Linked DNA regions of Rhinolophus ferrumequinum. The protein of the gene in region 1 purifies or fractionates together with the protein of each later gene. This does not show direct contact. Links are inferred from orthologs where the notes say so. Each region holds a gene or a part of one and is shown on either strand. Other genes may lie near its edges.

What was found. The genes of interacting proteins can lie anywhere in the genome.
Region 2: the proteins of RMND5A (region 1) and GID8 purify together in Homo sapiens (affinity purification with mass spectrometry; 5 studies listed by BioGRID and IntAct, counting the BioPlex papers as one, with this or other methods). This does not show direct contact. The link is inferred for Rhinolophus ferrumequinum from reciprocal best matches to the Homo sapiens genes RMND5A and GID8.

Annotation. Positions count from the first base shown.
Region 1 is NC_046296.1:7,840,815-7,844,559, forward strand, and holds the start of RMND5A (E3 ubiquitin-protein transferase RMND5A), read right to left. Parts: upstream 2,774-3,745; 5' UTR 2,458-2,773; coding exon 2,316-2,457; intron 1-2,315.
Region 2 is NC_046306.1:825,750-829,494, forward strand, and holds the start of GID8 (glucose-induced degradation protein 8 homolog), read right to left. Parts: upstream 2,806-3,745; 5' UTR 2,659-2,805; intron 55-2,658; 5' UTR 43-54; coding exon 1-42. UniProt on the Homo sapiens protein: Core component of the CTLH E3 ubiquitin-protein ligase complex that selectively accepts ubiquitin from UBE2H and mediates ubiquitination and subsequent proteasomal degradation of the transcription factor HBP1.

The sequences.
Region 1 (3,745 bases):
TGTATTATCTACTCAAAATAAATAAAATTTAAATTTAGAAAATTCCTTGAGAATTACTTTCACAAACCACATTAGAACTCCTCTAGAAAATAATAAAAAATACTGTACACACTTTACTCTTACAAAAATTGTAATTTTCCCAAGTACACTTCAAACATGTCATAAAACTGTTATCCAATTGTTTCATTCTACTCTTCTTTCACCAATATTGCTGATATTTAGAATAGCAGCAGTACGATATAGTTCTTTTCTGTTATCCCTTCCACCACAAAAGGAAATATATAAATATATTTGCCAGTAGGAAAAAAAAAAAAAACATGCTAAAAGGCATATAATCACAAGTCAAATCACCAAAATTTATCCATACTATTTATCTTAATCAAGGGTTGTCCAAAATGTGGTTCCCATAACCACTGATGTGAATGGTGATTTTACCTGTATGTGAAATAATACTTTAGTGGTTATGAATTTATTTTTAACATGTAACTTATACTATCACACCAAACCTATGACTTCACAAATATCGTTGTTTAGAATGAGGACAAATCTACTTAAGTAAAATCATAAATCCATCTGAAAAATAACAGTGCACATGTATGAGTGAAGTTTGAGAAACAGCAGTGCATTATCCAAATTAGGTCAAGGGCACACTGGGAATGAAACAGCATCAACCATACTGAATTTTAAATTAGACCAATTTTCATACTTACAGGGAAACTCTCATTGAAAGCCTGTTACAACTAAATGACAGCAGTGTCTTCTCTTCCCTCAAGTTGGGGAAATTAAGTGAATCTAAAGTTTAATCAAAATGATTAAGGATAAGAATCAGAGCTCAGTACAATCCTTGAACTTCTGGCAAATTAAGCTAAAAAATGGTATTTCTTTCCCAGACCAACACCATCTATGCATCATCTCCGGCCACCAGTAAACATTAATCACTTGACTCTATATCCTCGTTGACCCTTCCCTTTATCTCACATGTCCAAAACCAAATTCACCAGAGCCTTCCCAGGATTCCCAGACCACTCCACCTCCATTCCCCTTCACAGGCAACCACCTAGGTCTGCTAATTTTTCCATATTAATATTTCAACTTCTACCTCCACTATGGTTGCAAGTTTGCTTCTTCCCCGGAGTTCAAAAATGACTGTGAAGTCCAGAATGAGATGATGTTATAAGGCTCCTTTACCATGGACTAGCACTTACTCTCAACTGAAAGCCATCTGGGAAAGGTAGGTGTGGAAGAATGGAGAGAAGAGCGAAGCTCAGCTCCACTGCCTTCATCTCACCTGTCACAAGTATCAGCATTTCACCCCAGCTACCAAATCTTCCTTTACATAAATTTCTGTTCAGCCTACAAGTTTGAAAAGACCCTCTATCAACCTTCTGAATGAACCTATTAAATAAAAAGTCCCCTACTTCTTGATCAAAAGGAATCATCACAATGAATATTTTAATGTAAGGATACCAGACCTTTAATGTCACTTAAAAAAAACAAAAAACCTTCCCAACCAGCTTCCACAAGTTAACTTTGGCAAAGTGTCTGCTCCAGGCTCTAGGGCAAGAATGAAATAACCGAGGTAAAATACCTTCTAAAGGAAACATGGTTTCTAAAAGGAAAACAAGTAAACACTTGACCAATTGAGGCAAGTAACTAACAACTTGCGCCACAATTTGCTTCAGGAAGAATTTCCAATTGTTCCTCAGTCTCATCATAGGCTACACTAGGAGAGCTGACCAGTTTGGTTCAGCTAATTCCCTTGCAATCATGTCAGCGCTGTTGCGGAGTTGAAGAGCTGCTTCCACACAGCAAATTCTGAAGTTGCAGAAGCGACTGTTCTGTTAACCCACAGCTAAGAATAACACTCGACTTTCTAATTTAAAAAAAAAAAAAAAAAAAAAAAAAGGAAAGTCAGTCCCCCGAAAAAGGATTTGAAGCAGGGGAGGAGGAAAGGGCCTCCCGCAGTTATCCTCTTCACCTAGACCCTCCCGGTCGGTCGGGGCAAGGGGCACCCACCCCGGAGGGCGGCGATTTGCAGGTGCGGCGGACCGACCCCCCACGCAGGTTTAACATGGCTGGAGCACGCGGCTCCGGGATAGGTTTCCGGGTGGGATCGCGCTCACTCTTAATTAACAACCAGGTCGGACAGGTTCGAGTCAAATCCAGAAGAGAAGGAAAAGTCACGGGGGTCTGAGGATCTCCGCGCCTCGTGGAGGCGGGAAACGGCCCTCCGAGGGCACCCCTCCCGGCCAGCCATGGCTTCAGGGACGCGGACGGGTGGGCCCGGCCCCGCGCGCCCAACCCGGCCGCCTTACCGTGGCTCTGCAGGATCTCGTGCTTGAGGCCGCCCGTGTAGTCGATGAGCTCCTCCAGGCCGCGCTCGCACAGCTGCCCGTAGCCCGAGAACTTGTGCAGCACCTTCTCTAGCTCGCGCTCCACGGTCACGCACTGATCCATCTCGGAGGCGGCGGCGGCGCTCGGCTCCTCGGCGCCCGGGTGTCCGCAACCGTTCGTCCCGGGCCCGGCCGAGGCCGCGTCCTGCTCCTCGTCCCCCAGGCGGGCGGCGCGGGCTGCTGAAGCGGCGGGCAAGCTAGCCCCGGCGCCGGCGGAGCCCCGTGCAGCCTGTGCCCGCCTGCCCCATGGCGCCCGGCGCCCCGCGCGTTGCGTACGCTCTGGGTTGCTCGCCCCACCGGGCCCCGCGTCCCTGTTCCCCGCTTGCCGCGTTCGGGAGCCAGCGGCCGCGCGGCCGATTGTTTTTGTTTTCACGGGAACCGGCCGATGACCTGGTTCTCCAGGGCGGCACCAAGAGCCGCGGACCCGAGAGGGGAGGAGCCACCCCAGCGAAGGAAGGAGGCGGCGCGGGCCGTACCAAGCGCACCCGCAAGGGGAAGCAGCCCAGCAAGCGCGGGCGGAGGAACGCTGCGGGCGTGCGTTCGCGCCGCCGCTCTAAAGGTGAGGGCCGTACCACGCGAGAGGCGTGTAAGGGAGAGGTGGAGGGTGGAGCAGAGACCCAATTGGTCCGAGGAGCTAAACAGGGAACTTTGGAGGCAGCCCCAGGTCTCAGAGAGCGCTACAACTACGCGCTCCGTAAACAAGAGGGTGGAAACCGTCCCTAACCACTCCTCCCAGAAACCGGGAAAACGAACCAATGGGCGCGGTGCATACGTAAGGGACCAACGTCCTCCAATCCCTGGCCTAGGCGTAAACCTTCAGCCAATCCGAGTCTAGGGGCCAAACCAATAGTCTCGCTGTTGGAGGGGGTGACTTGGAGAGCAAACTGGGAAGCAAGTTATTTCTGGAAAACCGTGCGGAAAAACGAGACAGGAAGGAAAAGGTCTACCTTCCATAGGACTTCGCCCTAGCCATAAATTATCTTATCTCCCTGTCACTCGGGGGTACTGTCATTCCTAAGTTTTGGAACACGGACTCGTCGCCGCGGTGGAAAAACCAAGGCAGGCCGGGCGGGGGTCACTAACGAGAATTAAAGGCGGGTTGAGCTACTTGCTAGTCGAACTGGGCCCGTGTCAGGAAGAGCCCGGCGCGGCCGTCAGTGCTACCTAGACGCCTGCAATACCAGTAGCAGGTCACAGTCCGCGCCGCCTCACCCCCATCACACCTCGCGGGCCTCTGCACTTTGGCGCCTGGTCCTGGAACCTTTCTTGACCGGTTGCTTCACCCAGGTGCCACGTGCTGGCAGTTTCGCGGAATGGAAACCCGTTGCAGAGCCGGATAGCGTGGTCCCTGC
Region 2 (3,745 bases), on another chromosome or scaffold:
CTCATCTTTCGTGATTTCATCGGGTTTTTCTGCATAACTCATCCTGATTTATTTCTACAGGAAAAAAAAATTTAACAATTGGTGAATAATTCTGTCACAATTATAGTCGTTTCAGAAATAAACACAGAGACGTAATGAGAAGTAAGATGGAGTGAGTAGGAAGACGCTTTAAATCTGAAGTACAGTGAGTGCAAAGGGCCTGAGACCTGAACGCAGGGCTAGGGCTGGGGACCAGGAAGGAGGAGGATGACGCAAGAAAGAGCCAAGGGTCTTAGAATGAAGAGGTCAAGAGGTTGGCTGCGGTCGGACTGAGGAAGGCCCTACTGGCTGGGGAACGGACTTAGATGCCTCCTCCCCTACGTGCAAAGGGCAGCCGCAGAGATGTAAGCCGAAGAATTACGTGCTATGATGTTCACGCTCAGAAGGCGCTCGCAATTGCCCATCCACCACACGGACAAAAACGGAGGAGCCTGACGCGACCAGTGTAACAAAGACACGGAGTTCTCCAAAACTGTCACACCGCTGTCAGAATACACGGGCACTGCAAAAACATTTGGCATTCTCTGTACAGCTGAACACGTGCGCTCTGCACCGCCCAGCAATTCTCCTGCTAGACTGACCCCCTCGAAAACTCACATCCGGGCACCAAACACAAGACTGTTCACAGAAAGTGTTCAAAATGGCAGAAATGTGGCAGCCACCGCCCCGGTGTCAACAGCAGCATGGACAAAGAGCTGTGGTTCCTAGGCCCCACACCCTTGGGCAGATGTTTTAGAATCCAGAATGTTTCAGATTGCACAAAGACTACATACAGCACAATTTACAGTATATCATGCGTATATGACACCCTCCCCAGGTCTGGGGCAGAACCCATAACCACATGTTATTTCCCCTGTGAAATGTGAGTTTTTGTGCTGAGTGGCATAGAGGCTATGATACAGCCTTGGCCAGGTCGGGCTTTGCTACCAAATAAGTGAAAAACAAAAACAAACAGTTTTGGTCTTCAGAGCGATTTGGATTTTAGGATTGCTGAGAAGGGACGGTGGTCACGTATTCACGTAAGGGAACTTACTAAAGTAGTTAAGATAAATGACCACCACGGGAATGAGTCTTAGAAACCAGCCGGGTGAATAAAGCAAGTTGCAACGATAGCCCAGATGTGGCAGACACTTTTGTAGAGAACAAAAACAAGAGAAACTACATAAAGTGTGCTTGGGCAGTAAGTACTTAGAAAACATGAAACGTAGAAGGCGGTTATGATGGGAACAGGGGCAGAGAGGTGCCGGCCCTGGGAATGCCAGTGGGGCTCTTGAGATGGGTGGTGAGTCCACCGCTGTCCACTTCGTCACTGGCATACACGTTATGGACACTACTTTATACGTAGCAAAGCATGTGCCAAATTGCTTCAATAAACTAAAAAAACTTAAAAGACAGCAAAAGTGGGTGGTGAGAGTTGAGCAGGAAGACCAATAAGGAGCCACCCCAACAAGACGACAGACAGCAGGAGAGCTGGAGACACAGCTGATCGAGATTCTGTGACAAGCCTCCTGCTGAGCCCAACGTGGGCGGATCCAAGAGGACACCGAGGACTGGAGGTTGCGAGCTTGAGACCTGGAAGGATGGGGCCACAAATGAGGAGGGACTGGGGGAGGAACAGGTTGGAGGAGCAGGGCGAGTCCGGGCTGACGAGGAGACAGCCCGCCCGCTGGAGAAGTCAAGCAGACACCTGATTACAGGTCCCGGCCTCGGCGCTGGAAACAGTCATCAGGGAGACATCCGCCAACAAATATGGAAAGCCCAGAGTCTGGCAAAGATCAGGGAGCGAGAGCATGGGTGAGGAAGCAAAGGGGCACAAGCTAAAGTCCTCAGGTCCTTGGAAGGGGCCGAAAGACGACATGCATCTCGTACAAATGCCCATGTGTCCCGGCTGCTGAAGTCACTCGGTTGAATTCTGATTCCTCGACAATTCGAGGTCAAATAAGGCGCTTTTCTCTGCGTTTCCGCTCGGTAATTAGCAACCACGCCAGTACCACTCCCTGGCGGCGAGAGCGATGTCGGACAGCAACAACTCGGGAGAGCCGGCCGGTTCTGTTGTGTGCGGGAGGAACTCCGCAGCTGAGCATTCAACCGACATCATCGACACCCCAATTCTGACGACGAGGAGCCCTCGCTTCCGAGCGGCCACCCGCGTCCTCGCCAGGTGTTTCTGCTCGGAAGCAGTTGTTACAAAGATCGCTCCCGCCAGACACATGTGCTACGTCTCCCTCGTCTAGTCAACGACACGCCGACGGCCGGAGCCTCCCTGCCGTGTCCACCCAGTGAGAGTCCACCCCGAGTCACGGCGCCCGGCACCGCCACGCCGCGCCGTCCACTTTGGCGGGGAGCAAAGGGGGCCGTTTGACTTGCAAATCCAGAAGGCGCCGCCTCCGCCCGGGAGCTCGCTCGGATCCTGACACCTGCTCGGACCTTCGACGCCCTACGGCCCGCGGCGCGGGTCCGGCCGGGCGCACCTCGGCCGCACGGTAACCCGGACTCGGCCCCCACCCGGCCGCGAACCCCACCGGGGGCCGCGGCGCCCACGCCGGCCTCCTTCCCGCCCCGCCGCGCTCCCGTGGGGACGCTCGGCCCGACCGCCTGGGCCAGCCGCGGCCATCTTACCGTGCGGATCCCGCCTCCCGCGCTGCGCGGTCTCCGCGGCCGCTCGGGGGGCCGGGCCGGGCGGGGAGGGGGCGGCGGCGCCGGGGAGGGGGAGGCGGAGGCGGGGGCCGCGGCAGAGGCGGGGGCGGGGGCGGGGAACGGGAGGGCAGACGCACCGGCGGCCGCCCCCTCAGCCTCTTCCCGCGAGATCGCGAGCGGGCAGCCAATCAAGGGCTCCCTCGAGGGGGCGGAGCGCGGCGGCCGCCCGGAAGCGCGGCGGCGCGGCTTCCGTCCTTGCGCGGAATGCCCTTCGCGGCGCGCTCGCTCTACGGGTTGGCGCGAGAGTCAAAAGGCGTCGTCCTCTGGGCAAGATGGCCGCCGCCGAGGCACCGCTGTGGGGGAACTTCGCACCGGGATGGCGACAGCGAGACTGAGTCCGAGGCGAAGGTCCAGCGTCCCTTCCGTCGTTTGTGTGAGCCCGGAGGGCGCGGGGCGGGGGCGGGAAACAGGCGCCGGCGCGCCGCGCTGCCCCGAGCCAGGGTCCCTCCCGACCGGTCGCCTGCCCTCGCACAGGCCCGGAGGAGCCGCCCGGCGCGGCCCGCAGGAGTTCTCCGTTCCGTCGGTTGAGGCGGGCCCCCGGGGTTACCCGACCGTGTCCGTGTCGGTGAGCGCGCTGCCAGATGAGTGAACAGACAGGGCCTGCCCACGGGGACCTCGAGGACCGGGGGTCCGTCCGCCGCGCCCAGGCCGGGCGGGGGCTGCAGGCGTGTGCGGCGGGGTCCCGAGGTGCCGCGCGGCCCGGACCTGGGGGACGCGAAGGAGCAGAGACACCTTTGCGCGATCGTTTGCTTAGTAAAGCTCGTCTGCTCGAGAAGAATGCAGACGTCAGAGCGGGGCCTCGTTTCCCCATTGCCGGAGACTCAAGTGGAAAGATCGTGAGCGCTTCGGGGAGGCAGGAGAGGGCAGCCCCCGGTCTCCACCCTGTGAAGTCGGGCGTCGTCCTGAATTAGAAGTCCGGGGTTGGATGGGTGGGTTGCTCAGCAGGGAACTGAATAACGCGGGAGTGCTGTCGGCCCCTCGCAGAAAGTGATTCCAAGGTGCAAAGAGA